2 linked regions of the Elephas maximus indicus genome follow. The protein of the gene in region 2 purifies or fractionates together with the protein of the main gene of each other region. This does not show direct contact. Links are inferred from orthologs where the notes say so. Each region holds a gene or a part of one and is shown on either strand. Other genes may lie near its edges. The genes, in order: THOC5 and NCBP3.

Region 1 (15,624 bases), on a different chromosome or scaffold from region 2:
CTGTCATGATCTCTGGGGGCTGCATCATGAGATGATGCATAGAGAGCTTCTCTGGAAATGTCTCATGTAGCACCCCCCCCGTCCCCCACCAAACACAGGGGGCAGCCTACTGTGCATGCTGTTCTGTTTCTTGGTTTTTTGTTTTTTAATTTGCTGTCTTGGAGACTGTTCCGTATCAGCTCGTCAAACCTACCCTCTCCTTTTATCCAGCCTTATGCTTGCTGCTGCTCCCGCGGAAATACATCTGATATCGTCTTGCTTGCTATTGAAGCAAGGTTGGGTGGGAGTACTACCTCATTTTCAAGATGAGGACATTGAGGCCTAGAGGGGTCAAAGGCTGAACCCAGGTTTCTTGGACTTGTGTCTCGGTCATCTCATGTCCAGTGCTGTCCTTCACCAAGACAGGGAACTCAGAGAGTCTTGATGTTAGAGGAAACCAGGCTGGAAACCTCTCCCCCACCCCTCATTACATATACACACTTGTTATCCAGCCTTGGGGTAAACAGGGTGGGGTCCCAGTGGCCCTCTGACCTGTACCTCCTACCCCCCGACAGTGCACCTATGGCGATTCTCTGGTGGCTACCCAGCCCTCACAGACTGCATGAACAAGCTCAAAAACAACAAGGTATGTTGGCATCTGGCCAAGCCTTCCTCTAGTCAGGGAACCTGTTGTTGGCTGTGGCCCAGTCCTGTGCTGGGGGCTGCCTCCATCACCCTGTGGGGCACACTGTTGGGTGGGGGTACTTTCTGACTGCTGTGCCCATACTGCTGTGCCCACAGGAATACCTGGAGTTCCGGGAGGAGCGGAGCCAGATGCTGCATTCCAGGAGAAACCAGTTGCTCCTTGAGTTCAGCTTCTGGAATGAGCCAGAGCCCCGAGCAGGCCCCAACATCTATGAGCTGAGGACGTATAAGCTCAAGGTACCTTCCTCTTGGCAGAGCCCTGCCTGCCTCCTACCTTCCCTGCTGCAGTGCTACTTTGCAGGTGCGCCAAGATGGGCCCTGGGCCCCAGCACCTAGACTGGGCCTTCTGGCTTCCCCCTCCCTGCAGGCTCCCTGCAGGCTCAGAACAGAGGTGTATATGCATCTGTGCGGATGTGCACACCCAGGTTCGAGTCAGGGCCTGAATGAGGCTCTGGGAACAGTGATACTGGGGAGGATCCAAGGTGAGGCTCCAAGATGGGGCTCATTCCCATCCTTTCTCTGCCTGTCTTTCAGCCGGGAACCATGATCGAGTGGGGGAACAACTGGTGAGTGGCGGTATTAGTGCTGGGGTGGGAAGACCCTACCCATCCTGCCTCAGCCAAGGGCCCTAGTAGGCCACCTTACCCAGGACCATATCATAGGAAACCCAGGATTCTCTGCCCCTCCTGGACCTGGGAGAAGGATGTCCAAGGAGGAGGTGAGGATCTCCTGGAGGATTGTGAGGCCTTCCCTGGGAGAACACACAGCCAGTGGCTGCCCCTCTGTCACCCCATTTTCTGAATCATCTCTGCCAGCTGGTGGCCATATCTCCCTGTGAGGTGTGGCTGAGGCATCAGCTTGGGCACACTTCAGGGAGCCCTTTGCACAGGCGGAATTCCCAGGCCTCCCCCAGAGTCCTGGCTTCTGCCCAGCACTCTTCTGCCATCCCCAGGGCCCGGGCCATCAAGTACCGGCAAGAGAACCAGGAGGCAGTGGGCGGCTTCTACTCGCAGATAGGAGAGCTCTACGTTGTGCACCATCTCTGGGGTAGGCTGGGGACCCTCTGGGAGCCCATGCTAGTCCCTGCTCTGCCATCAACACTCTGTGTGGACAGTGGGGATATACCAGTGCCCTCACGGAGCTGACATTCTAGCAGAGGGGAGACCACCTCAGATGTGAACTAAAAAGAAAGATCATTTCAGATTATTACAAATGCCTTGCAGAAAAGAAACAGGGAGATGTGATGGAAGAAAACATAGAGGACCTACCTTGACTGGGGTAGACAGAGGCAGCCTCTCTGAGGGGGTAAAATGTAAAAACAGCTAACGAATAAGAAGGAGCCAGTGGTGAATTGCTGGGGGAAGGGCATTCCAAGAGGAGGGAACAGCACGTGCAAAGGCCCTGCAGTGGGGAAAGGTCTTCAGGGTTTTGAGGCGGGGGAGGGAGGTCAATGTAGAGAGTGTGAGGAGATGGGGTAGGAGAGGGGGAGAGGCGCAGATCAGGCTGGGCCTCAGAGACCATGAGGTGATGGAATTTTCTTCTAAACGCAACAGGAAGCTGCTGGAGCATTTTAAGCAGTAGCAACACAATTGGATTTATGTTGTAATATGATTCCTCTGGCTGCCGTGTGGTTGGTGGTTTGTAGGGGAGCAAGAGAGGAAGTGGGCTATCAGGAGACAGTAAGACTAGTGCAGGTGAGAGAGGATGATGGCCTGGCCTAAGGTGGTGGCAGTGAGCATGATGAGAGGCCACAGATTCATTTTCTGGAGGTAGAACCAGTGGGACTTGTGGATGAATTGGCTGTATGGGGTGAGGGAGGGAGAAGAAGATTCCAGAAGAACTCCCAGGCTGCTGTTTGAGCCGCTGGGTGAATACTGCTGTCACTTAATGAGATGGGGAGATCTAGGGGAGGAATGGATTAGAGGGTCAGGGGTGTAACTGGCCCTCGGAAGTATCCCGTTTGAGACACTGGCACATCCAAATGGAGACATCAAGTGGGCACTGGATACATGAGTCTGGAGCTCGCAGGAAAGGTCAGAGCTGGAAGTATAAATTCGGGAGTTGTCCGCATAATCAGCATATGTACTAGCTGGATGAGACTATCAAAGGAGACAGGGTTTGCTAACAGTCCAGGGCATGTGGGAGGAGGAGGTGGCAGGGCAGGGTTTGGGGCAGTAGGAGGAAGGCCCATGCTGGATACAGGATCAAATCCTATGTGCCCAGGGAATAAGCATATGCGTCTCCCACAGCCTATAAAGACCTGCAGTCTCGGAACGAGACTCGAAATGCTGCCTGGAGGAAGACGGGCTGGGACGAGAATGTCTACTACACAGGTGAGCGCCACCTCTGGGAGTCAGTGGGGCCCTTGGTCCTTTGCCAGGAGCCCTGTCTGAGGATGGAATCCATTCTGCGTGGAGGTCTAGCCTTGCTTGATTACCTCCAGTGATGAGGAACATGAAGTTAGTGAGCTTCTATCCTGGTGGCACGTTCTGTGTGATCCAGGCAGTTATGAGTGCTCTGGGGGACGATAAGGTAGCCCAGAGGTCCCTGCCTCAGAGATGTGGAGTAGCTGAGCACACACCTTGGACTTGGCTTTTCACCTTGCTGAGGCTGTTTCTTCCCCTCTAAGATGGTGATGGAGATAGTGCCTCCCTGAGAGCTATAGGGAGAATTCCTTGAGGTAATCTATAAAAAGTGCTTTGGCCAGAGGCTGGCCCAGAGGAAGCACGCCACAAATGTGGCCTGTTGTTTTTGCTCAAGGAGTTTGCCACTTTATTGGTAACCCCTGAGAACCACCTGGAATCAGTAGGTGTTGATAGAGCCCTCACCCCGGGCCAGGGACTGTTGTGGGTAGGTGGGTGGAGAACACAGAACTGAACAAGAGCCTGTCCCTGCCCCTTGAGGAGCTTAGGGTTAAGCTTACAGATGCCATCTGGTGTGAGGAGAGAATGTGCTTGCTGAAGGAGTCAGCGGGAGCCTGGCTGCTCAAAGTGTCCCAACGGACAGTTTTGGCATCCCCTGGAAGCTTGTTAGAGATGCAGAATCTCAGGCCCTCCCAGACCTACTGACTCAGAATTTGTACTTTAACAAGAGCCTTGTGACCTTAGACATGGCTGGTGACTTGCATGCATGTTTAAGTGTGAGAAGCCCTGAGGAGGTAGAAAAGAAGTCTGACTTCCTGGGTGACCTTGGGCTGTTCGTGACCCTCTCTGGGCTGCAATTTTCCCATCTGTTAAATGAGGCAGTTGGACAAAATCAGCGTTTTTCAAACCTCAGCCACTCGAGGACACCCTCACAGCTTGCCCTATCAGCATACTCTCGCCACAATTATTTTCTTGATATTTTTCCTTAAAATATCTTTCTTTCTTCTTAACCTGGAGCCCTGGTCGCACAATGGTTAAGAGCTTGGCTGCTAACCAAAAGGTCAGCAGTTTGAGTCCACCTTGGACACCCAGAGAGCAGTTAGCAGTTCTACTCTGTGCAATATAGTCACTGTGAGTTGGAATCAACGCGACAGCGACAGGTTTGGGTTTTTTTTGGCTCTTAACCTAGCCTTGGAAACCCTGGTGGCGTAGTGGTTAAGTGCTATGGCTGCTAACCAAAGGGTCGGCAGTTCGAATCTGCCAGGTGCTCCTTGGAAACTCTATGGGGCAGTTCTACTCTGCCGTATAGGGTAGCTATGAGTCGGAATCGACTTGCTGGCGCTGGGTTTGGCTTGGTTTTGGTAACCTAGCCTTTTGTTTGTTTTTCAAAAATTTTTTCACAATTTTATCTGTGAAATCACTTTTCACTATGCTAGTTATTTTTTCGTATACACAGGAAAATAAATACATAATTGTTAAAATTTTAAAATGTTCATCTCATTACTACCTAAAAAAAACTAGCAGTTGCTGTCGAGTGGATTCCAACCCAGAGTGACTCCGTGTGTGTCAGGATGGAACTACTCCATAGGGTTTTCAATGGTTGATTTTTCAGAGTGAGACTGCCAGGTCGGTCTTCCGAGGTGCTTCTGGGTAGCCTTGAACGTCCAACCTTTTGGTTAGCAGCCAAGTGCTTTAACCTTTTGTACCACCCAGGACTCTGTTACCACCTAAGTCCCCTCTTATCCCACAATGTTGGGAACCTGGTCCTCTCTCTGGGCCCTTCCAGGAGGACATTCAGAGCCTTCTCCTCCTCCAATGGCTAGTGGGGGTAGGCGCTCACGACCTCTGCCTCTGTCTCCGCAGTCCCGTTGGTGCGACACATGGAGTGTCGGGTCATGATCCCCTTGAAGATCTCACCTCTGCAGTGATGTTGCCTCCACATCCTTGCCTTTCTCCCTCAGGTCCTGGTTCTGCTCACATCGTTTCTTCTCAGATCTGCAGGGGTCTAGGGGGCAGTGCTCAGCTCAGGCAAGGGGGTGCTGAAGGATGATAAGGTCTGAGATTTGCAGCTGTGCCCAGACCCTGCCTGCCTTCCCCGGCCTCTTCCTTCCCTTCCTGCTGGAAAGTTTCTTGTTTCACTGACAGAAGAATAGCAGCCTTTTATGTCTTCCCACATCTTCTCCTAAGATTCCTCAGCTTAAAGCCCTAGCCCTTAGTTATCACCACAGAAATTCCCAACTGCACTTTAGTTGCCCAAAAGGTAGTGTGTCCAGTGGTTAGTAGTGGGGTGGGAAGAGAGGTGGTTGGCACTGTGCCAGGTCCTCAGGAGCTCCCTGGCCTCCACTGGGCCAGACAGTCTGAGTCAAGTCCCTCCTGCTGGGGACAAGCCTGGAACTGCCAAAAACTCTCATATCAGCAGGATCAGGAGGAAGTCAGCACATTCCATGGGGGGGTGGCGGGGAGGATGGGCTGGGAGAAGGGACGGGGGATGGGAAAGATTTCGAGGCAGGAGACGGAACATGGGATCAGGGAACCCAGAAAGCAGACCCAGGTTTGAATTGCAGAATTTGGAATCCAGAATTAGGAAGATAGAATAGAGATGACTGAAGACCACTTGGGGAGGGATTCTAATACAAGACAGACGAGGAGAAATTCATTTGTTTTTCCCTAAGTAATGGGGTTGAGACCTTGAATGTGTAGTTCCAGTGTCTCCCACCCTCTTCCCTGCTTCAGGCAAAGGGACAAAAGCAGGGCCTGTGTTTCCCCCACTGGCATTCCTTTTTCCCCACTCCACATTCCATTAGCCCAACAACCCTCATTTTACTGGGACACCGGGAGTATAGAATGGGGTCAGTCATTCTGGGTGCCTCCTCCATGAACCTCATACCTCATGAACCCCTTGCTTGCTTGATTGTGCCTCCCATCCAGAAAAAGTTGTACTGGAGTTGCTGATGGAACCAATTAAATATTTACTGTAAACCTCATGTGTCTTTTTTTTCTATCTGTAAGGACCTATGGCAAATGCCCAAGGCAAGGCAGAGCTGGCTAACTTCCAAGTCCCACCTAGCTGATCTTTCCCCCTTAAGGGCTTTGTGTTCCCTTAGCCACTATCAGGTGGGGGGCCATTTTCAGCCTCACCCAGGGGTAGGAGAAAGAAATGGCCATGTACTGATTCAGGACATGGGCGTTTCTAGCCCCAGATAAGTAGGATTTTACATTAAAAATTCAGGATATTTCATGCCAGGGCTAGGAATCACTTGAAGCTGTCAAATACTGCGTTAGAGCTGTGACTATCCTAGGTAAATTGGCCCTAAAAATGGGGAAACTAGTGATGTACCTGTGAAAAAACAAGTGTAAAATGGGGCTAATGCCTTCGCTGTGTGCCTTGGGGCCCTGAATGTGACAGCATGTTTTGAAGGCAAATCCACTGGGGTCTAAATCTTAGCACTACCTCGTTCTAGTGTGATCTTCAGCGTAACAACTTTATTCACTCAACAGACACTTGCGAAGCACCCACTACTTGCTGGGCACCACTTTTAGGCCCTGGGGAGAGTGCACGAAGCCCGGAAGTTTTTGCCGTAACGGCTCCAGTTTCCCAGTCTTAGAGGAAAGCGTTGGGGTGGGGAGGTGTTGGCCCGCTGAGAGCCTCGCTGACAACCGAGGCGCAACCACCTTCCGCTGCTGCCCAGCTCAGACGTTGTCAGCGCTACACGCCGGCGGTCGCTGGGAGGCTCTGGGCTTCGCTTCCGGCTTCCACGCCTCGCTTCCGGCCGGCCGTTCCTTCCTTCCGTTTCTCTATGGTCACCGCCGGAAGTGGCTCGTTACCGGGGGCAGGTTCGCGACACCGTGAGGTGTGGAGGAAGCCGGGTCGGCAGGGCGCGCGCGGAGCGGAGGGCGGAGCCACGTGTTCCCGAACAGAAACGTCGCTGGTCCGAAGGGCTCCGCGGGGCTGGTGTGACCCGGGCTCTCCACCCTCCCCACTAGGTACCTCGCGCTTAGTTTCCGCATCTGTAAATGTTCGCTGCATGATTCTCAGAGTCCATGTTGTAGCCTAATGGTGTTTGTTGTTGTCAGATGCCGTCGAGTCGGTTCCAGCTCATAGCGACCTTTTGTACCACAGAACGAAACACTGCCCGGCCCTGCGCCATCCTTAAAATCGTTGTTACGCTTGAGTCTATTGTTGCAGCCATTGTGTCAGTCCATCTCTTTGAGGGTCTTTCTCTTTTTCGGTGATCCTTTGCTTTACCAAGCATGATATCCTTCTCCGGGGACTGAACCCTCCTGACAACATGTCCGAAATATGTAAGACGCAGTCTCGCCATCCCTGCTTCTAAGGATTGTACGGGTTGTACTTTTTCCAAGACAGATTTGTTCATTCTTTTGGCAGTCCATACATAGTATATTCAATGATGATTAAGACGGTGATAAATACGTTCACTGCAGGCTCCTCAGGGCCCTGGTAGTGACGACGACGGTGATGGAGGTAACAGTTCGCATTTGTTGAGCACTCATACAAAAAAAAAAATTTTTTTTCATACCTGTAGGGCACATTTTACCAGTGTTGTCAAAGTCGGGATTCAGCCTTTTGGGTGTGGGTGTCACCTTTTGGGGTTTTGTCAAAACAACTTATCATCCATAGATTCCTTACTACAGTTTTAGTTGAGTCTTTTTTAAAACTTAAATTTATTTTAAAAGGAGACTTTGCTACTATAAATTAAAACTGCTCTCACTTGTTGTATGTGGATGGTAATGCTAAAACCTGATGTATGAAAGCAGATCACTGTTAATAAGCTCTGACTAGATTTTGCTGTCTAAGGTTCCTGAAAAGAGCCCTTTATTCACAAGTGAATATTAGCATTCATAGATGTTAAAGACAAACTAGGTGAACTTAGATGTTTTCCATGAAGTAATTGGAATGTTTGAAAAACAATTGAAAAGGGATTAACTTTCTCCCTAGGTGTTTAGCCTTGTTTAAGATCACCCATTCACCATTTAAAATCACATCTCCAGCCCCAGCTCATCTTCAGCTCCAGTACCCCCTTAAGGAAGGCACTGTTATTCTCATTTGAAAACCCAAGGCAAGTTAAATGTTTAGCACTTAACTTTGGTAGCCATAAACTAATAGAGTGGAGATGCCAACTCAGAACTTTCTGACTGACTTATTGGCTCCCTCAGTAAGTGTTGGTAACAGATGTGTTGGGACAGGGACAGTGCTACTGATCTTGGGGCTGTGGAGATGACCAGAAGTGGCTGAAGTAAGGATGCTTTGTGATCCTAGAGCCCCATGAAATGTAGGGTCATTCTCTTAAATTTCAGGGTCAACCAGGGAATTAATGGCATCACTAGATGAGGATGGTGGCAAGACTAGGGAGAACAATAATGTGTCATTGAACGGACCCAAGCTTTGTAACCTTGGGCAAGTCATTCACTTTTCTGAGCCTCCATTTTCTCATCTGTAAAATGGGGATAATATTAGTTCTTATCTCAAGCGTTTATTGTGAGGATCAAATTAGAACATACCCAGAAAGTGCTTAGATCAAGATTCAGCATACAGTAATCAATCAGTAGTATTGGGGATGGGTTAATATACCAAGCTGAGGAGTTTGGATGCCAATTTAGCCAGCTTTTATAGAACACTTTGCCAGGCTCATGGGAGAGAAGGCAGAGCTCATAGTCCAGGTGGGGAAGACAGGTAAATGGTTCAAAGGGGTAAACTATCTAATAAACCATACCAAACCTTTTGCCATCAAGTCGATTCCAACTCATAGTGACCTTATAGGACAGAGTAGAACTGCCCCATATGGTTTCCAAGGAGTGCCTGGTGGATTTGAACTGCAGACCTTTGATTAGCAGTTAACCACTATGCCACCAGGGTTTCCAATTACTTAATGGTGTGTCTAGAGAACTCAAAGGAGGGAAGGCCTTCGGGAGGTCTAGTAGTAGGCTTCCTAGAGCAAGTGAGCATTGTTTTGTCTTGAAGGATACAGAGGTGGAAAGGAAAACGGTTACTGCAGGCAAGGGAAAGAATGTGGAGTGTATTGGGAATCAGGAATGGTGTGTGTACTTACACCTGGAAGTAGAGATCTGAGGGGGATGAGGAATAGGAATGAAAGAAATGTGGTTGGGATATTGGGTTGGGGACAGACCATGAAGTGTCTTTATACCAGGTCAGCAAATATGGACTTCATATGGTGCATTGTGAAGGGCTAGCAAAGGTTTTGAAACAGAGAAACATCAAGTTGGTTTTTTTTAAAGAAAGAATTTAGACCACAGTGTTGGACAAGACAGGAGGCTGTTACAGTGGTTCCGGAGAGGAATACAGAGGGCCTGACCTAGAGTGTTGAGATGAAGAAGATAACATGATGCCTGGGATCACTGGGTAAACACCTGAATGAAGGGACACTTCTGTAGAGAGAGTGTGAGCAGGTTGTGGATATAGGGGAGGGAATGATTGAAGTTGATTTTGAGGTCAGTTTGGACAGTAGGATGGGTCATTGTGCATTTAAAGAAGGTGGAGGTGGAGAAGATGAGTTCATTTTGGACAGGATGAGGGATGCTTCTCTTGTTTTACAGATGAGGAAACAGGCTTTGGAGAGTTAAGTAACTTTTCTTGAGTTACCAAGTCTGTGAGTGGCAGACTGCTAGTTAGACTTCAATTTTCTGACTTAAGAAAAATCTTCAATCCGATTCCAGAAAATCTCACAAGCTTTCTCCCCTTAACAGTTCTCTACTGTTTCTACCTGACCTTGCTGAACAACCATGTCATCAGAATCAAGCAAAAAACGGAAGCCCAAAGTGATCCGAAGTGATGGAGCCCCAGCTGAAGGGAAGCGAAATAGATCTGATACTGAGCAGGTAAGATCAACCAGGGTTCCTGTGCCACTGAGAAATTGCAGCTTGTGGCCAAGACCCCAGCTGTGGGTTTGGGGGCAGTTCAGGGTTGCCCTTAGCCGGTGACAACTTCCCAGGTGGCCTCTGCTTGGCCGAACCGAACCGGTTGCTGTCGAGTCGATTCTGACTCATAGCGACCCTAAAGGACAGAGTAGAACTGCCCCATAGGGCTTCCAAGGAGCACCTGGTGGATTCGAACTGCTGACCTTTTGGTTAGCAGCCATAGCTCTTAACCACCACGCCACCAGGGTTTCCCTCTGCTTGGCCAGGGGACTGAAATTCCCTTGGCACTACAAAACCTGAAGTGTCTACATCAGCTTTAGGTGCAGCATTCCAAGAACTGAATAACAAGCCTATATTAGACACGATTAACAACTGAACAAGGAGCCCTGTTGTTGTAGGGTTAAGCACTCAGCTGTTAACTAAAAGATTGGTGGTTCGAACGCACCCAGTGGCTTCACAGGAGAAGGACCTGGCGATCTGCTCCTGTAGAGATCACAGCCAAAAATACCCTCTGGGGCAGTTCTACTCTGTCACATGGGGTCGCTGTGAGTTAGAATTGTCCCAGCATAACCCGACAACAACAACAGTGCCTGAACAGAGAACGTATTTCAGTACAGTGTGTGTGTCTGGTTTTCCTGATGGTCCGAAGAAGACAGTCCACCTACAGCACACCACTGGGGCTTCAGAGATGTTACGTACCTGGGTTTGCTACTGAGAGTACCAGAATCATCTGCCCACAGAACCTGTTCTCTGATCTGAGAGCCCGTGTCATCGGGCTCTTCTCTGTCTTAGGATCTGTCAAGCTAACTTAGGATTTTAGCTGTTTTGATTGGGTGTTTGTTTCGTTTTTAACTAGAGCAGGGAAATATACCAGCATACATTTAAATAAAAAGTGGTGCTTTCCTCAGATTTAGGAAATTAAGCTTAAATGCAGAGCCTTATCCTTTTTAGCCGTTGATTCTGGCTCTTGCTTAAGGCTCATGTACTCTGTTTGTGAAGGCTGGGAGATATTTCAGCCTCTGCTAAAACTTGATTTGACAACCTAAGCACCCATCAGTAGGAATTTGTTTAGATGAATTCTGGCTTAACAATATCATGTAGCTATTTTGGGGGAAATTTGTATTTATTGGGATGGAAAATCATAGTAACCAGCATAGACAATATGATCCCATTGTGCTTAAAAATAAAATGTATATTTAGCTCACAATGTTAATAATAGAGTTGTTTCAGGCTACGAGGTTACAGGGAATTTTTCATTTTCTTTTTGATGCTCCTCTGAGTTCTGAATCTTTGACACCAAGCATGCATTAGCTTTGTAATCAGAAAGGATAAAAAAGTTCCCGTTCTGAAAAGAAGAAAAACATTTGACTTGAGGACCAGATCCTTTGGAGATCTGATTTGGGGCTTCATAGTTACTGTTCTTATGTAACAAGCGATATCAGCTAACTGTCTCTGGTCCTGACAGAGAGACTCTCACCCCGCCCCACCCAGGACCTCTCTCCTTGTCTCCACAGGAAGGTAAATACTACAGTGAGGAGGCGGAGGTGGACCTGCGGGACCCTGGCAGAGACTATGAGCTGTACAAGTACACGTGCCAGGAGCTACAGAGGCTCATGGCTGAGATCCAGGACCTGAAGAGCAGGGGAGGCAAGGACATGGTAAGGAGTGGGACTGGGTGGCCATGAACCTGGTGGGTCTGCATAGATGGAACTAGACGTTGTCGGCTCAAGAAGTTTTTATAGTCACCAGGGCCCGCCTCATCTTGCTCTTCTGTACTGGCCATAATCAGGTGGTTGGAGCCCTGAGGCTCCAGAGACCTACCTATTGTTGAAATGTCTTATCACCACCCAATTACCAATTATCGTAATGAAAGCACAGAGTTATTTATTTTTTCCCATAAATATAATCTGATAATTCATCCAACTAATATTTATTAACTGCCAGGCTTTTTGCTACGTGTTGAGAAATGATGGTAGATATAAATTTCCTCGATGTTTTAAGAATACCAAACCGAAAAAATGTGTTGTCATCAAGTCGATTCCGACTCAGGGCGACCCTATAGGACAGAGTAGAACTGCCTCACAGGGTTTCCAAAGCCGTAATCTTTACGGAAGCAGGCTGCTGCATCTTTCTCGTGTGGAGTGATTAGTGGGTTCGAATCGGTGAGCTTGTGGTTAGCAGCTGAGTGCTTAACCACTGTGTCACCAGGGATTCTCATTATAAGAATTGATACATACAGATAAACAACAGACCAAAAATGAAATTGTTGTTAAATGGCTTTAAGGGCAGAGAAAAAAACTGTGGCTAAAAACCAGATGGATAAGTTTTAAAATGATGAATCCGGTTGTTTTCCAGGAATCTCACTAATTTGTGCTCATGCTGTCCAATACTGTGAAGGTTATCACATCGAATCTGTTTTATCGTAGCCAACCTGTGGCACTCTCATTGTTATTGTCATTTAAATTATTCTCTAATGCCATTTACAGGCATCAAATTTTATTCATGATGTCATTGTTGTTAGGATTTCTATACAAAATCCCCAGGGACAGTTTTTTGTTTTTTTTGTGTGAAAATATACACAACAAAATGCACACCACTGCAACAATTTCTTTGTGTGTAATTCAGTGACGTTGGTGACATTCTTCAAGCTGTGCCATCTTTCTTGACAACCTTTTCCAAACTGTTTTACTATCATTAACACAAACTCACCACCCTCCTAAAGTTCTCACATATCCTTTCAAGTTGCTGTTGTCAATTTGATGACATGTAGATAATTCTTTAAAAGAGTATAATGCAAACATTCTTTTCTAATTAGGCTAAATTATTTGGTTCAAAGATGACTTTAGGGGACAGTTTCAATTCAAGGTTTAAAGATTTCCTCAGGGTAATGGTTTTGCTGCATCATTTGGCCTCAGTGGCTCCAGAAAATCAGGATTCCATGAGAATTTGAAATTCTATTCCTCATTTCCCCCCTTTTGATCAGGGTTCTCTGTAGAATTCTTTATCTAAATGCTCATCAGTGGTAGCTGGTTACTATCCAGTTCTTCTGGTCTCATATCAAAGGAGACAGTTGTTCACGGAGGCAGTTGGACACAAATTCCGTTTCCTCCACTGATTCCTGACTCTCCTTCTTTCTCTGATGTTCCCAGCAAATAGAGACCAATTGTACCTTAGGTGGCTGCATGCAAGCTTTTAAGAACCGAGGCACTACTAGGAACTAGGAGGTAGAACAGATGCACCAAAACCAATCTTAGGCCAATTGACTAGAATGTCTAGAGGCAGGTATTAATTGTGTATTGACTGTACTTGCTCCATATTCGATTCTTGTTAGTTTAGTCCAAGCAGAAATTGCTTTTTTACTTAGGAACCTTATCCAGTCATTCTTCCATTTCCCTCTGACATTTCTCATGTTTCTGAGCTCCCTCCAGTGTCTGTTTTTGCCCCTGCGTGGGTCAGCAGTGAGGGAATAAAGCAGGCTGGCCCCAGCACCTGTTGCCAGAGGTCTTGCCCGGTTTTCTCTGCCCACAGGCAGTTGAGATCGAAGAACGGCGGATCCAGAGCTGTGTACATTTCATGACTCTCAAGAAGCTTAACCGGTTAGCTCACATCAGGTTGAAGAAAGGAAGAGATCAGACCCACGAGGTAGGAGTTGAGAGGTTTGACTGTCCTCCTGCCCTTCGTCTACCCTTTTCTTTGTCCATTTTACCCCTTCCCTGGGTTTGCTGCCCTATTTCTGACTTGCCCTCCTTACCTCTGACCTTGTCCTCTTTTCAGGCGAAGCAGAAAGTAGATGCCTATCACCTGCAGTTGCAGAACCTGTTGTATGAGGTGATGCACCTTCAGAAGGAAATCACCAAATGCCTGGAATTTAAGTGAGTTTGGGAGGACAGGGCTTTGGCACAGATGGTCTGTTGGTAAACTGAGTTTTGCTTAGTGTCAGCCGGCCTCTTTAAAAAGAAATCTGATGAGCTTGAAAGACTGAAGAATCTGGAAGAAAGACAAATAAAAATCAGAAGCAATTGTTTTAGGCTGGACAGATGACCTCAGAAGCCTGTTTGACTCTTTGGCTTTTTGAGCTCTGTACCTGATAAAAGCAGTTCTCTCTCCCCAGCAGGGACTTTACCTTACCAGTTTGATTTCCTAGCATGCTGTACGGGGACAGCTCACTTCCAGTCATAGCCTTTTAACCTTTTGACTGAGTTTTCCTCTCTAAAGTCCCAGCAGTTCATTTTTACAACTGCAGTTTATTCTTTAGAACCTCACCTTTTTGCTGCTTCGCTGCCTTCAGGTGAACAAACTACAGTTTGTCAGCGTCCCTCTTAAAATGTGATGCCTCTTGGAGAAAAGCTGATACTACAGAGATGAGAAGGAGGGAGGAGGATTCAGGGGAAGGGAAGGGGAATGGTTCCTTCTTGAGCAGACCTGTTTGTGCAAACTGAAAGGAGTCAGGCTTATTTTGTAATAAATTTGGGATAATGGGGGCCGTGTTAGGTTGGGTTCAGCTTGTTTTCCGTAACGACGACAGTGATTTTTGAGAGGCATGTTCATCTCCTCCACAATGTATCGCCTAATAGATACTTAAATACTAAAAGAAGTAAAATCAGAACAAGGTCTGTACCTGAGTTAGTACTGTCTTGCCAGTGTCAGTTTCCTGGTTTTAATAGTGTCCTGTGGTTTATAAGAGACTTTCATTGGGGGAACCTGGAAAAGGGCATATGGAAACTCTGTACTATTTTTGCAATTTCTTGTGAGTCAAATGATTTCAACTTAAAGAGTTGTAAAAATAAATAAAAAGAATGGGATGCCCAGACCTGTACCCATTGCTTCAGTTGGAAGCTAACAGATCCAGAATACCATGGACATGGGGCCAGTGGCAAGGCAGGTGACCACGTGGAAGGGGCGTGGGCCCTGGAGTCAGAGAGCCTGGCTTCAAATCCCAGCTCTGTCACTCACTCGCTTCTGTCACCTTGGGCAAGTGGCCCAGCCTCTCGAAGCCTGTGTCTCATTTGAAAAACAGAGACAAAAATCCCTGCCTCACGGAGTTGTGAGAATTAAATGAGGTGACGACAGCACGTTGTTGTGTGCTGTCGAGCTGATTCCGACTCATAGTGACCCTATAGGACAGAGTAGAACTGCCCCATAGGGCTTCCTAGGCCAAAATCTTTACGGGAGCAGATCACCAGGCCTTTTCTCTAGAGGAGGCTCTGATGGGTTTGAACTGCCAGTCTTTAAATTAGCAGCTGAGTGGTTAACCATTGCACCACCAGGGCTCCGAGGACCGCATATACTGTGCTTAATAGCTGCTGCTGTTATTACTGTCGTTTGATCCAACCTGAGCACTCTACTATGTTAATGCAGCTAAGATGATTGTTTTTTTTTTTCTTTTATAATCATGTGTCACTATGGATACAACAGTGAAAGCCTCCGGATCTTTTTCACATCTGTTTCTGCCATGATGGGTCTTCCCCATCCCATGCTTATACAGTTAATGTTTTGAACTTAAGTGCAGACTTTTATGTTTATTCCTGTTAAATCTCTTGGTTTCATCCTTACAGTCTAGGCCTAGGTTGTAGTGTTTTTATTTGACTCTCTTGGCTTATCAGCTCTCCTGCTTAGCTTGGAGATGTCTGTAACTTTGATGAGGACTCCTTCCAGGTCCTTAGCTAATTCACGGAAGGTTGGA
Region 2 (15,624 bases):
TATGAAATCAAGGTTGCTTTAAAACAAACAAATAAAAATAAATTAAAATTTAACCCAAATAGGGTTAGAAGCTGGCGAAATGGACACGAAAAGAGAGAGTGGAGGGAGAGAGCGGGCTGTCTCATTAGGGGGAGAGTAATTGGGAGTGTGTAGCAAGGTGTATATGGGTTTTTGTGTGATAGACTGACTTGATTTGTAAACTTTCACTTAAAAAAGCACAATAAAAATAATTTAAAAAAATTTAACCCAAATAGCAATCCTATTCAGGTAGGTATGATATTCCCATTTTACAGACAACGAGACTGAGACACATTGTTATAAGCTGCCTCAAGTCAGTTCTGACTCATAGTAACCCTATGTACAACAGAACGAAAAACTGCCCGGTCCCGTGCCACCCTCACAATTAGTGCCCACTGTTGTAGCCACCTTGTCAATCCATCTCCTTGAGCGTCTTCCTTTTTCACTGACCCTCTACTTTACCAAACATGATGTCCTCCTTCAGGGACTGGTCTTTCCTGATAACATGTCCAAAGTATGTGAGACAAAGTCTTGCCATCCTTGCTTCTAAGGAGCATTTTGGCTATACTTCTTCCGAGACAGATTTGTTTGTTCTGGCAGCCCATGGTATATTTAATGTTCTTGACCAACACAATAATTCAAAGGCATCAATCTTTCTTTGATCTTTATTCATTGTCCAACTTTGACATGCACACAAGGTGACTGAAAATACCATGGCTCGGGTGAGGCGCACCTTAGTCCTTAAAGTGACATCTTTGCTTTTTAACACTTTAAAGAGGTCTTCTGCAGCAGATTTTCCTGATGCAATGCTTTGTTTAATTTCCTGACTGCAGCTTTCGTGGGCGTTGGTCATGGGTCCGAGTAAAATGAAATCCTTCACAACTTCAATCTTTTCTCCATTTTCGTGATATTGCTTATTGGTCCAGTTGTGAGAATTTTTGTTTTCTTTATGTTGAGGTATAATCCATGCTGAAGGCACTTAACAGACAAGGAGACTGAGACCTAAAAAGTTCAATAACTTGTCCACGGTAACAACGAACTACAACCAGGTTCCGCAAGGGCCTGGCACTCTAAAGAGCTCCAACACAGGTGGAAAGGAATTTCCAGTGGGTAACTAGGGATGCTTCATGGGGAAGTAACATCTGAAGCAGCTGATGAAGGCATGACTGAGACCAGGGGCAAGACAGCACAAGGAATGTTCAGGACTAAAAGTACAGAGGCATGGTCAAACTATGCTGCTTTCAAGGCTGACTTGTGAGAGAGGACTCAGAAAGGTCTCCTTCAGCCCAGACCACACAGGCTGACAAATGGCAAGCTGCAATCTGTCCCTGGCCTTCACAGGACTTTTCCTAAAACAGAAATCCATTCAACCAGAAGCCTGGGACCTCAGCCTATGGAGGGAAGCAAGGTCCTATTTCCAGCTTGAACTAATGATGTATGAAAAAGTAGAAGCAACTTCCAAAGTTGAGCTCTGCATCCAAGTTACTCTGGTTACTCAGATGGACGACGGGGGGGGCGGGGGGGGCATGGTTTGGGTCTATCATATCATATATTATAAAACAATAGAGCAAAGTAGTTAAGATCAAGGCTTTAGGGTCAGATAAACCTAGGTTCAAATCCTGACTCCACCTTTACTTCACATGACCTTGGGCAATTTATTAAACTTCTCTGAGCCTATTTCCTTCCTTGTAAAACACGAATAAAAAATATATCCCTCATAGAGTTGTTGTGAGAAATGAATAAGTATATGTACAACATGCTTAACATCCCGTTTACCTGCTGCCGCCAAGTCAATTTCGACTTATAGCGACCCTGTGGGTCAGAGGAGAGCTGCCCCACAAGGTTTCCAAGGAGCAGCTGGTGGATTCGAATTGTCGACCTTTTAGTTAGCAGCTGAGCTCTTAACTGCTACGCCACCAGGGCTCCATGTTTAACACCCAAAAAAAACCTGGTAAAAGTGGTCCCCAACAAATGGTAGCTATTCATTCAACATGTTCCTGCAGCTTTTGTTCCTACCAATCAAGCAAGCCTAAAGAAACTCTCACAGCAGAGCACAGACCTTAACGTGCATCTCAGATCTGCCTATTAAGCCTTTCAAAAATACCCAAACTTGCAAATACAACGGAGACCTTTCTCATGAATGGATTTATATTAGAATGGAATAATAAATACGGCTGGAGACTCACTCAAAAACTAATGATACAAGACTAAATGGGCAACACCTGCCCAAAAGCAAGATGAGAAGGCAGGAAGGGACACGAAAACCAGACAAATGGAATCAGAAAACCCGGGGTGGAAAGGGGGAGAGTGCTGACACATTGCAGGGATTACAACCAATGTCACAAAACAATTCATGTATAAATTTCCAAAGGAGAAACTAATTCGCTCGGTAAACTTTTACCTAAAGCACAATTTAAAAAACTAATTATAATTTTCCCTTTTATTTATAAATTGCTTTGGAAGACTGTAACATATACATGTATATATACACATACGGACACTTGTATATGTATACGTGTATACATACATACACACATACACACACACGTTAGAGATCTAAGGAGCGCAATACTTTCTCTAACAAAAAATAATATAAAATCACAAGCCAAATGGTAGCACTATAAAACCTACGGCGAGATTCATTTAGCTTTCTCTGACGACAGGATGTTACTGTGTGGTTTACATTTGTCACACATTCATATAATCAACAGAAGTATTAATGGCTTTCCCCATCCCAATATTCCTCTAACTCCCCTAAAACAAGGTCTGTGAGATACACCTTCACTACACTTAAAGGCAAAGAAGTTAGTGCTCCTTTGATAAAAGCAGGAGTAAGGATCTGTAAAAGCTCCGCCACTAACTGTGTGACATTCTCTGCACCTACTCAGACAATATCATCTCCTTTTTTCCGGTTCTAACATCTCAGATGCAGCTAACATCTCAATTTTAAACAGTAGCCTCAGAAATAGAGACTAAACAAGTCTCTCCCTTTGGGCGTATTTGGATGAATATCATACATGCAAAGCAAGGCCAGAAGCATGAGGTGATGCCAGGGAAGTCACTCTGGGGAAATGTGGGAAAATTCCCCTAATACTTCCTGTACCTTTCTTCATCATGTCTCGGTCCAAGGCCACATTTCTTTGGGCAAGATTTACTTCTGATCGAAAATGGAACCGCTTGGCTCGCTGTTCTTTCTTTTCAATGGCTTCCTAGAAAGACAGAAAAAGTCAAAGTAGTGAAACATGAAGGAGGAAAGTCAAATCACAAACCCAACATGACGTATCCGTGATAATCCTAAAGTCAATAAGAAGAAAAGGACAACACTGTACCTGGAATAATCTTCCAGAGAATTGGATATTCACATTCAATACGTGGGACGGGGTGCGCTAATATCACTATAATTTGACAAGAAACTCCAAGATGATTTAGTACCTATCAGTGCGCCTGGGACGTAGTAAGAACTCATAAATATCCATTGACTGAATGAGTAGTGCTTTAGAGCTTATGAAGTCCTCTGACAATTTATTTATTATTAACAATCCTGAGAATAAATTACAACAATCTCAACATCCCAATTTTCCATGTGCAAAAACTGAGGCACAAAAAAGTAAAAAGGTCTGCTGCAAGTACTTCAGCTAGCGAGGGGCAGATCTGAATCCAGTGCTATTTCTAGAAGCCCCACCACCGCCAGCGCCACCAGTTCACATCCTCTGTATGCATGGTAGTCACACCTATCGCACTCTTCCACACAGTAAGTCTGCCTGAGCAGTCCACCCCCTAAAGCTATTTTCCTGTTTAGAAATAACACCAACACCAAGAATCCCTCCTCCATTCTAGCCTCGCTTCTGTGGAATTGCCAGTTTTCATCTTTAAGTGACAAGAAGCATTGGAGCTTCCCTGAAAAACAAAATAATCAGCTTCGTTAAGTTTTTTCTAAGAGCTAAAATAAATCCAGGTGCAACTGTGGGTTCCTTTCTGATGGCCCTTAGGGACCCTTCACTAATTGTATATTTATGGACTTTGACACACTAATTAAAGGTCTGACTATAGAAAGCTTATGGGGATTGGTAAAGCAGCAACACCTCTGTTATTCCCCAATAGTTACACTAATTTTCTTCACTGACGTTTTCCCAGTGCAAACAACTTATCTACCTTCCTCTGGTAACAACTTAAGTACCAATTCTGGGGCTACCACCCTTTCTCTCATATAGCTGTTCCATATAATGGCAAACTATGTAGGATTAAGAACAGTATAGACTATAATTTTTTCAATTACAGTAAGAATAAGAAAACATTTCACTTTATTCCATTTTCTTGCTTGTCTAAAGGATGACTAATTCTCTTTCGGTCTTTAAGCCGAAAGATAAAATATTAAAAAGAAAGCATGACATATTTAATTTTTATTTTTGCTTTTATACATCCAATATAGTATTGTTATTTAGAACTGCTATTCATAATTCTGTTCCAAATTTAACAGCACACGTTAAAATCACAAATGGTATCTAAACTAGATAAAACCGATCAAAGTGACAAATTCATACGGATTGCTTATAAGGAAAACAATAGGTCTGGCTCTATGCAACAGTGCAATGAAGCTGGTAATCTAGTTAACAGCAATCGCTAGTTAAAAGGCAATACTCTCAGGTACTGGGAATAATTTTGTTGACTTGGCCTTCAAAGTTCAGATAGCCACGCAATCAGTAAGCCCTATTTTTCTAAGCCTACAACCTATGAGGAATAAAGGCATTTACTAAGGGCCTACTATGTGCCAGGCACTTTTCACTTAAAATGGCCACAAGCACACATTTTGAAAGAATGGACACGCAGCATTAAAAAAGCACTCCTAGCACAGAATTTCTTCTTGGAAATGGTTAAGCACAGGCATCTAGGTATAGTAGTTTTATCTTTTTGGGGATGTAATGTTGCCTGGATGTTTTTGGGGGATGCATGAGGGCTGCCTTGTGTAACATGCAATTAAGAACAAACGTAATCCAGCAACAAGAAAAAAAAGGAAGTAAAGAATAATACTCTCGCATTATGTTGAGGGACCAAGTTCCCAAGACACTTATCAAACTGAATAAACCGATCATGGTCTGTTTTACCTTGGAAGTAACATCGATTCCAGTGATGAAGCTGCCAGCCTTGTTTTCGTATCTTCTACTTGTGTCCTAACACAAAGAGGAACAGTGAGAAGTGCTGACAGCAACTGAAGAAAAACTCATGATAAAAGGCAGCCTGACAAGTGATTCCCCTTGGATAGTCATTCTTTTCAGCAACACTTCCCCCATCCCCGACAACTCCTTATTATGAGAAAGCCTGTCCCAGGGACTCTAAGAAGTCCCTTCTAGATCAGAGCCCACCCAAAACCTGAAGTAATCCCATCAACTGAAGATATCCATGTAAATGTGAATCTGAAGGCTTTGGAGAAAATGTCAAAGATGAGGTGCAGTCATGTCTTATCGCCCCAACCCAGACTGGACAAACTCCCCAGGCTAGGCCACTAGATGGAGCACAAGTCTACCAAAATGCAGAGAGTCCAGGCTCTCCTAGAGTTCAAGGGGAAAACACAGCACAGTACAATGAAAAGAAGATGGGATTTGGACACAGAGGATTAAAAGACAATCCTTTTATCTCTGTGGGTCTCAGTTTCTCCTATGGTATCTGCCTACCTTCCTGACCTTTTTTACTACTGTTCCACTTGTGCTACAGAACTTTCCATTTCTCCAACAAAACAATCTTGTTCCCATCTCAGAACTTTTGCATTTGCTGTTCCCGCTACTGGCCACACTCCCTTCTGTACCTGCACATTGTTGGCTCCTTTTTGTCATCTAGGGTTGGACTTGAACGTCACTACCTCAGAGGTCTTCCCTGACCATCCTATCACATTCTGCTTCTGCACGCCCTCCCTACTCCCTGCACTCTCTATCCTGTGTTTTATTTTCTTCAAACACATCCCAGTATCAGGAATTATTTGTTCATTAGTTTATTATCTGTGTCCCCCAACTAGAATATAAACTCCAGGAGGGAGACTTATCTTGATCTAGTGCCTAGGACACGGCCTGGCACATAATGAGGGGTGCAACAGATACTGAACTGAATGAACAAAAGAACGATAATACCTACTTCACAGGTGCAATGATATTTAAACAGCATAATGCAGTAAACGGTAAAGTGCCATTATGTTTATTATCATCGGCCATTTCTAGTAAGCCTACCTTAACCTTTTCTCACGACTTCAGTTTAAAGCAAGACTTGCTGACGTGGTGAAAAGTATTTTATGGCAGGTGAGAATTTAAGGATATGAGAGGACCATCCAGGCCGGAGACCAGTTGTCTGAAAACCGCACCGTACGACCACCAAACCACAAGCAAAACACCTCTCCCCATCCCCCTTGTGATAAAAGAGGGGCCGAGAAAGATGACTGGTGCACCTACTCTGGTTTCATTAGAGGTCAGATGCTGGGGCAACGGTGTAGGTCCTGTACCGCAGTGGAGCTGCGCCGAGGCAAGATGACCCTCAAGCCACAACAGAAAACACCGTGAGTTTCTGCTGCTGACAAAGCCAGTGCTCCCCAGAGAGACCGCGAGTGCCAGGTTTAAAACACCAACTACACTAAAGCAAGACCCACAAGGAGACCTGGACGCCAGGGCCACCCAACACTTCCTTCTGGGCCGCCCCTGGTTCTGTTCCCGCCCCGGGTGTCCCCATTATCTCAAACCCGGCGGCTCCTCGCTCACTCCCTTCCACAAACAGGTTCAGGGAAGCAGCGTAGGGTGTCCTCAACTACCCCCCAGCTCTCCCGCCGGTCCTCCAGCCCCCTCACCACCCGTTTCCGGGCTCCCAGCATCCTTTCTCTCTCTCCCCTTCCTCAAGCCTGGCCCCCCGCCCCCCGGGCGCCCGCGCCCCTCTCCTCCTCACCCCCAACTTCCCCCGGCCCGGGCGCCAGCCACCTCCCCTTCCGGCCCCCTCGAGCGCGGGGCACTCCCTCCGCGACCTCCTCTCCGACCCCCGCCCCCCGCCCGTACCGGGATCAGCTCCTTCAGCGAGCGCCGCACCGGCACGATCTCCAGCTCGCCCTCCTCCACCTCCATAGGCTCTGGTTCGCCGCGCTCCAGGCCAGGCTCGGCCTCTGGCGAAGGGAGCCCCAGGGCCGGCCCTGCCGGGGCCTCCGCCTTCACCGACACTCGCAGGCCCCGTACGGCCGCCATCGCCGCCCGCCGGCCGCACCACTGAGAGCCCGCTCCGCACACCCGGCGGCTAGAGCGCCGCCACAACTGGCCACAGAGGAGCCGCTGCCGCTACCCAGAGTGTCACCCGGTTAGTGCAGAAGGTGGTCCTCAGCTCCGTCGCTCCCTGGTGGTTGGAGGAACCACCACCAGCTGGGGCGGGACCTGGTGAGGAGGAGGAGGGACTGAGTGGGGATGGGGCAGGGCCTGCTGGTGGGGGCGGGGCTTGAAGGAGACCCGTGCAGTCTGGGCTTAGAAAACAGCTAGCCCTTGAGTAAACCTGTGATAAAACCTAGTTTTACTGAGCCAGGAGCTCTGGCGGTGCAGTGGTTAAGAGCTCGGCTGCTAACTGGGTAGTTGGAATCCCCCAGCCGCTCCTTAGAAACCCTTATGGGGCAGTTCTACCCTGTTCTATAGGATCACTATGAGTGGGAATCTACTTAACCCCAATGGGTTTGGTTTTTGGTTTTACTAAGCAAGAGCCTTGATGGCACAGTGGTTAAAAGTGCTTGGCTGCCAACCGAAACGTTGATGGTTCGAACCCACCAGCATAGGAGAAAGATGTGGCAGTCTGCTTCTGTAAAGATTACAGCCTCAGAAACCTTGTGGGGCGGTTCTACTCTGTCCTATAGGGTCGTTGTGAAGCAGGCAGTCATGAAAGTGTTATTAAGGGTTATATTAGCCATCCCATAGTAGTTGTATTTCAGAAAAGTTTACTCTTGCTACATTTTTGTTACAAATTTTACAGCACTTCACCATGATTGGTTGAATCCCGGGTTTCTTCTCTTCTCCTGGCAGAAGGCCAAGGCGTAGGTGCACTAACTCCAAATTTACCTGCTGTATGACCTTCCTTCAGTGGCAGTAGGGAACCATCACCATTTTTTTAGGGCTGTGCACAATATTTTTAGAGCCGTGGGCCAAAACTCATTCACAAAAATTATGCAGACTGCCCACGCATCACAAGACTGAGGACCCTCCCCACACTGTTCACGCATATGTATGTCACTCCCTATAAAAGGGGCAAATCTGCCCTGGTTCAGGGAGCTGGCAGTCTTAGGTCACGAGACCCTGCCTGCCTCCCGGTTTGCAAACCGAATAAACCTTTCTGTTCTTCCACCCTTGTGTCTGGCTGACTTCAACTCGCTAGTCTGCTTAACAAGAACCTATTAGTTGAGGGCTTCATCTGGCACCCCAGATGGGACGCAGTGGAGACTCTGGCTCAGGGTAAATTAGGTCCTGAAACCTCCTCCAGAGGGCACCCTTGACGCTCCATTGGGTCAGGAGGACTTTCTGGGCCGCACCAGCCCCAGACCAGACAACCCACAAGTCCCCCACTGGAGAAGAGAAACATTCTGACAGTGCCATGAAACAGGTACCTATTTTAAGTTTCATTTTGGAGGAGCTACTAGGTGGTTGGTCGTGTCCTCAGTAACGGGTGTTATTAGGCCTTGTGGTGATCTCCCTGTGTCCTGGGGCTGAGTCCCCACCTGCATGAGGGCACAGGTCTCCATCTGGTCTTTTGTCTCAACCCCTGCATTTTTTTTTTTTTTTGGCCAGGATCTTGTTATAGGATCTGGTTAAGGAATATTGTCCCTGTGTCTTGGGCCCCCCCCCGCCCCCGTTTGTCTCATGTTCTAGCTCGGAAGTCTCCCTGCGCAGGATGGTTTTATGTCTATCTCTCTTATGAGGAGTGTACTGAAACATCCTTTCTAATTTTAGATACTGAGTCTCGTATAAGACAGTAACTCAGTTGGAGCAAAGTACGGTCCTTACAAATATTGGCTGTGGAAGGTGTGGTACTTGAATTGCTCCACCTGAGATTATGTATCAGGGTAACCGAGTTCCGCGCCTCCGTATAGTCAGGGCCTCTCGAATACATCCTTCCCCTGGCCTACTGATTAGAAGCGATAAGATCTATAAACAAGATGGCTGCCGGTCAGTCCACCCCTAAACCATCCCCCTTAGAGTGCATCTTGACCCACTGGGATTTTTTTAAAACTGGTGACACCAGGACGAAGCATTCGAGGTTCCTCTGTGGCACAGCTTGGCCTCAATATAACTTAGAAGGTCAGGAGAAGTGGCTGGCCAAGGTAAGTTTGCACTATAATACCATATTGCAGTTAGATTTGTAAGAAAACGCGTAAGTAGGATGAGATACCTTATGTTCAAGTGTTCATGACTCTGTGTTATAATCAGGGATTACAATAGCAAAGCAGATTGATGGTTCAGGTTAATCAGAAGTCTAAACAAATTCTCGAGAGAGAAGAGTCCAAGCTTGTAGTGGGACTGTCACCCCCATGTAATCTTATTTACCATCAGATTTCCCAAGTGGTTCCTGCTGACCCCAGCCCCGGGGCCTCGGGAGCGGCCTGCATTGATCCTGGGACCCCAGGAACAGGAATGGTCTTCCCACCTCACACCCACAGTGGTGCTACATTTGGCCAAGGCCAGTCCATTTCCTCCAGAGTGTTGACAAGGAGCGTGATCCAGAAGTGGTCCAATTCCCTTTAAGGGAGGCACCGGCTGGGACAGGAGTAGACAGGAGAATTAGGAACACTTTGACGCATGTCCCCTTCACCGCTTCAGATTTGTTTAACTAGAAAAATAATTTCCCAACACAGCATCTGGATCCTCAAAAGATCCATGACATATTTTCATCCATCTTTAATACCCATCAGCCCACCTGGGCAGACTGCCAGTCTCTGGTGGAAGTTCTTCTCTCTTCTGAAGAGAGGAGAATGGTTTTGGAAAAGGCTAGACAATTCGCTGATAAAGAACATAATGAAGACCCCCAAAATCCTGACAAACTGCCAGCCAAGAACACAGTCCCTGGAGTTGATCCAAAGTGGGATTACAATTCGAAGGAAGGCATGAGTAGGCTGAGGCATTATAGAAAGTGCTTACTAGAAGGGTACAAAACTGGGGTACAAAAACAGAAAAACCTCTCAAAAATTTATGAAGTAATTCAGGAACCCTAAACAAAACCCTTCTGAGTTTCTTGAAAGAATTTTCCAGGCCTTCCAGAGACACACTGATACGGATCTGGCAGCTAGTGAGAATCAACAAATGGTTAATACCATCTTCACAGTACAAAGCTCTACAGATATACAAAAAACCAGAAATTGGATGGAGGGCCAGGTTTGCCTACCTCTCAATTCGTTGAAACAGCCTTTAAAGTTTTTAATAACAGGGACCAGGAACAAGAGCAGAAGGAGACTCTCTGAGCAAGACAAGAGGCTACCCTGCTGGTGGCAGCCTTAACTGGGAAACCATTCCCCTCACCATATCAACCAGCATCAAGAGAAGGGAAAAAAACCTGCCAGGGGGAACTTTGGCCCCCTGAAAAGGAACCAATGTGCCTTACTGTCATAAAGAGGGACACTGGAAAAATGAGTGCCCTGAACAAGGCTGGCCGGCCAAGTATGTGGTGAGTGACCTCCAACCGGGAAGGGGCCTGGGACTTCCCACAGACTGGCTCCAAGAGGGACAGACTGTCACTATCTCCCCTGAACAACCCAGGGTTAACCTAACAATAGAGGGGAGGCCAGTTCAATTCCTCTTAGACACATGGACCACCCACTCGGCTTTAAATGATCCCCTTACCTTACCCTTGAGCGCCAAAAGGACTCCAACTGTTGGTGTGTCAAGAAAAGTAAATTATAAGAACTTTTTTAAGTCAGCTATATGCACAACTGGGAACTCCAGTCTCATCAATTCCTGTACATACTAGAATGCCTGACCACCTTATTGGAACAGGATTTGCTGTCCAAATTAGGGGCCAGTATCTCCTTTCATGGAAACCCTGGTGGTGTAGTGGTTAAGTGCTACGGCTGCTAACCAAAGTGTCGGCAGTTTGAATCCGCCAGGCGTTCCTTGGAAACTCTGTGGAGTAGTTCTACCCTGTCCTATAGGGTTGCTATGAGTCGGAATCTACTCGACAGCACTGGGTTTGGTTTGTTTTGGTTTATCTCCTTTCATGGGACTGAAAACCCGGTTATCCAAATCCAGGCTCCAGCCTAGGAGGGCTGGTGGTTACAAGCCGTTCTCCTGCCCCAGAGATTAGAAGACTCCTCCCAAATACTGGAACACATCCTACAAGTAGTACACCCCATTGTATGGGCTAGTGGAGAGCCTGGAAGAGCAGTGTCTGCAGCCCCAGTGGTAATCGAACTAAGGGAAGGGATTGGAACTCCCAATCTAAAGCAGTATCCCATGAGAAGAGAGGCTCAAGAGGGACTTGAGAAACTGGTAACCCAATTCTTGAAAATGGGAATGCTTTGACCATGCCAGTCAGAATACAACACACCCATCCTGCCAGTAAAGAAATCCAACAGAGAATACAGGATGGTACGGGACCTGAGAGCCATCAACCAAATCGTAAGTGATATCCACTCAATGTCCCGAACCCCCATACCTCGCTAGCTGTAGTACCTGGAGACTGTAACTACTTCTCCGTGCTTGATTTAAAAGGTGCATTTTTCTTCATCCCCATTGCAGAAATCTCAGCCACTGTTCACCTTAGAGTGGGAAGACTACAACACAGGACACAAGTCCCAATTAACTTGGACTGTAATTCTCTGGGAATTTAAAAACAGCACAGCCGTCTTTGGGGAAGCACTCAGTCAGGATTTCCAGGGCCTCAAATTAGAGGAGGGTGTCCTGCTCCAATATGTTAATGATCTTCTCATCGCCAGTGAAGGGCGAAAGGCCTCTGACCAAAATACCATTAAGATTTTCAATCTCCTGGCCCAGTTGGGATACAAAGTCTGGAAGGAAAAAGCCCAGATATCCCAGCTACAGGTCCGATATTTGGGATTCCTCATATCACAAGGAACTTAAACCCCACCTCCTGCATGCAAGGAGGCCATTTGTGCCACTCAAAAACCATCAAACAGATGGGAGCTCAGAGGGTTTTTAGGCATGGCTGGGTTTTGTAGAATATGGATCCCAAACTTTGTACTGATAGCAAAACACCTTTACGAAGCTATGAAAGGGGGAGATGGAGACCCATTCATTTGGTCTCCTAGCTATCGACAGGCCTTTAAGGAAATAAAGGCTGCTTTATTAAAGGCCCCTGCTTTAGGCCTCCCTGACTTGGAAAAGCCTTTTCATCTTTACACCCATGAATGCAAAAGGATACCCCTGGGAGTCTTTACCCAGAGCCTGAGACCTCACCAGAGACTCATAGGATACTTCCCCAAGCAACTGGATTTGCCCACACAAGGATGGCCTCCTTGCCTAAGGGCAGTAGCAGCTTCCTGCAAACTAATACTAAAAGGCCGAAAAACTGTCTTTAGGCCAGCCTCTGAGTGTGCACACCTCTCACACCGTGATTGCCCTTCTGGAACAAAAAGGAGGGCTATGGCTGACCGCCGGCCTACTAGGTAAATACCAAGCCATCCTACTAGACAACCCAGCTGTAACTCTGGTCACTGGAACCCAGCTCAACCCAGCCACCCTATTGCCAATCCCCGAAAATCCTCCTCTAATACATGATTGTTTGCAGACAATAGAAGAAACATACTCCAGCCGACCAGACCTTTGAGACACTCCTTTCGAGGAAGGTCTTCAATGGTATGTTGATGGGAGTAGCTTCATAGAAGAAGGAAAGAGGAGGGCTGAATATGCTGTTGTTTCCCTTGAACCCCCAGGTTGTCGAAGCCGAAACCCTGCCTGTAGGGACCTCTGCCCAAAAGGCTGAGCTTGTTGCTCTAACCCGAGCCCTAACCTTGGGAGAAGGTAAGACCGTGACAGTCTTAACTGATTCTCATTACGTCCTTTGGATAGCCCATGCACATGCAGCAATATGGAAAGAGAGGGGCGTTTTAACATCAGCAAATAAGGAGATGAAATGTGGGGAACAGATTTTGGCACTGTTGAAAGCCGTTCAGATGCCTCAACAGGTAGCAGTAGTTCACTGTAAGGGACACCAAATGAAAAACACTCCTGAGGCGAGGGCTAATGCCCTGGCTGACTTCACAGCAAAACGAGCAGCTAGAAGGACATCCCAGACTGAAGAACCACCGTCAGCAGAGGGCCTGATCATTCAGCATCCTTAGGAACACTTTAATCCAGCATACACAGAGAAGGATCATGAGTTAATAAAAGATTGGGGATTTTCACCAGACCCCAACCAGTCACACGAGTGGTATAAAAACTGCAGAAATTATGTGCTTATCACGACTCACAGCATGGAACATTTTGAGGGCCTTACACAAAGCCACCCACTGGGGACAGGAGGCCACAGCCAGATGAATTAAGAGGCACTTTGCAGGGAAAAATCTCCTTCAGAGTATAAAAAGGATTCAAAGACAATGCCATACTTGCATCCAGAATAACCCTAAAAACTGGCTTCTTCTGCCTCCTGGTGTCTAGTTTACAGGGAAGGGTCTAGCTGAAGACTGCCAAGTAGATTTTACAACCATGACTAAAGCAGCTGGGAACCTTAGGTACCTCTTAGTATTTGTAGACACTTTCTCCAACTGGATAGAGGCATTTTCAACTCGGATGGAAAAAGCTTTTGAAGTATCTAAGGCTCTGTTAGAACAAATTGTTCCAAGGTTTGGCCTGTCCATCACCCTTCAATCAGACAATGGGCCAGCTTTTGTCTCTGAAATAACTCAGCAGGTATCAAAGGCACTCAACATAACTTGGGGACTACATGCTGCCTGGAGACCACAGTTTTCTGGAAAGGTAGAAAAAATGAGTCATACCCTGAAGAAAACGATAGCAAAAATATGTCAAGAAACTGGACTAAAATGGATAAAGGCCCTATCACTGGCTCTCTTGAGGATTCGGATAGCCCCTAGAAGCAGGTTTAATTTAAGCCCTTATGAAATGATGTATGAGAGACCCTTCCAAATAGACCATGCTCAGTTTCCTAACAGTGAAGTAGATCCTAAAGGTCAGATTAGGACTTTTCTCTCACAAATTCAAGCCTTCTTAACTGAAATAAAAGACTGCACAGCCTGGAGGCTGCCAGACCCACCTAACGGGCCCTTACACCACTTCTTAGCAGGAGATCGGGCTTTGTTAAAACATTGGAAGGAGGATCAAGACCTCCAGCCGATATGGAAGAGATCCTATTTGGTGTTATTAACCACATATTCTTCTCTGAAACTTGAAGGAATAAGGCCATGGGTCTGCTATTCCCGAGTAAAACCAACAGCCGCCCCAGCAAATCCTAGTACCAGAGAACCAGACAACAAGATCACGGAGCCTGACTGGATGGTAGAGCCACAGGAAGGACTCAAGCTGTTGTTCCAAAGGCCCAGACCTGATAAATGAAGCTTTCTGCTAATGATGAACATGGTAGAGATTTTAGAAATTGCATTTACTGTAGCACTTTGCCTAATATTCTTTTGGCCTTTGCTTGTCAGCTGCCCATTTTTGAATACACTTACTTCCCTTGGTGTTAAAGGTTTAATTCTCAAGAATTAATTGCTTTTGTACGTAGAAGACTCTTAAGATGAAGCCCCTTTTCACTTTCCTCCTGGGTTTCTCCATACTATCCCCTTGGGCACAGGGCTCTGAAAACTGGGAAAGTAATTACTTTTACCGAGTTGCAAAAGCCATCAGTGAAGGCCAGCCACTTCATTTATGTTAGATATGTTTTTCTCCTCCCACAAAAACATCAGGGAACCTCCAAAATCTCCCTGTGACTAACTACTCCCAAGCGCCACTCCCCACTGTCAACTGTATCAGCTTCCCTCCCAAAGCCCTATTGCCCCTCCCTTGCATTAAACCTCCTCTGATTGGGTTTAACTGTACTGGAGTCCTCAACAAGACCTACCCAGCAGGCGTGTCTTTTGACCTATGGCTCAACAGGGCACTAAATGAGATGTACATACATCAGGGCCCAGGCCCAGGTAGAAAACTCAATTTTAATGGATAGTTGGAACATTTCTCACTTCCATGATTGTGAAACCTCCTTTAAAAATGCCAACAGCACTGCTCAGGTATGTTCCAAGGGCAAGGGAATTTGTGTAGTAAGTGTTTGGGAGGAGGTGAGCTGGGTACTTGACTTCAACACCTCCATCCAAAGAGAAAAGGCAAGACAGTCCTATAATTCATTCCAGTGGGATTATCGGACCAATTCATTCCAGTGGGATTGTCAGGTCAACATACCACCTTTTTTCCCCTGGCCCTGGCTATTTTGGCCTGTTGGGACGAAATCTGTCTGAGTACGGGTGGCTCAGGGAGGCCTGAGATAATCTGACCACTGTGCCTTCGAGTCACTGTCTCTGTGCCCCGAGAAGATATGCCTAGGTGTGTGATTACTCTCCACTACCTAGCAGTTCCTATCCAACTAATATTGTCCTGACGGGTGGGTCCTGGAATGCCTAGACCCCTTGATTCATGGGGGAGAATGTACCTTGGG

The links.
Region 1: the proteins of NCBP3 (region 2) and THOC5 purify together in Homo sapiens (co-immunoprecipitation; 3 studies listed by BioGRID and IntAct, with this or other methods). This does not show direct contact. The link is inferred for Elephas maximus indicus from reciprocal best matches to the Homo sapiens genes NCBP3 and THOC5.

Annotation. Positions count from the first base shown.
Region 1 is NC_064840.1:26,972,749-26,988,372, forward strand, and holds the start of THOC5 (THO complex subunit 5 homolog), read left to right. Parts: upstream 1-6,852; 5' UTR 6,853-7,031; intron 7,032-9,770; 5' UTR 9,771-9,806; coding exon 9,807-9,902; intron 9,903-11,455; coding exon 11,456-11,599; intron 11,600-13,469; coding exon 13,470-13,583; intron 13,584-13,715; coding exon 13,716-13,813; intron 13,814-15,624. Other genes in the region: NIPSNAP1 (protein NipSnap homolog 1), read left to right, coding at 555-625, 781-921, 1,219-1,250, 1,637-1,731, 2,934-3,017, 4,911-4,975. UniProt on the Homo sapiens protein: Component of the THO subcomplex of the TREX complex which is thought to couple mRNA transcription, processing and nuclear export, and which specifically associates with spliced mRNA and not with unspliced pre-mRNA.
Region 2 is NC_064837.1:17,349,108-17,364,731, reverse strand, and holds the start of NCBP3 (nuclear cap-binding protein subunit 3), read right to left. Parts: upstream 7,279-15,624; 5' UTR 7,227-7,278; coding exon 7,044-7,226; intron 6,534-7,043; coding exon 6,453-6,533; intron 5,187-6,452; coding exon 5,121-5,186; intron 3,228-5,120; coding exon 3,122-3,227; intron 1-3,121. UniProt on the Homo sapiens protein: Associates with NCBP1/CBP80 to form an alternative cap-binding complex (CBC) which plays a key role in mRNA export. NCBP3 serves as adapter protein linking the capped RNAs (m7GpppG-capped RNA) to NCBP1/CBP80.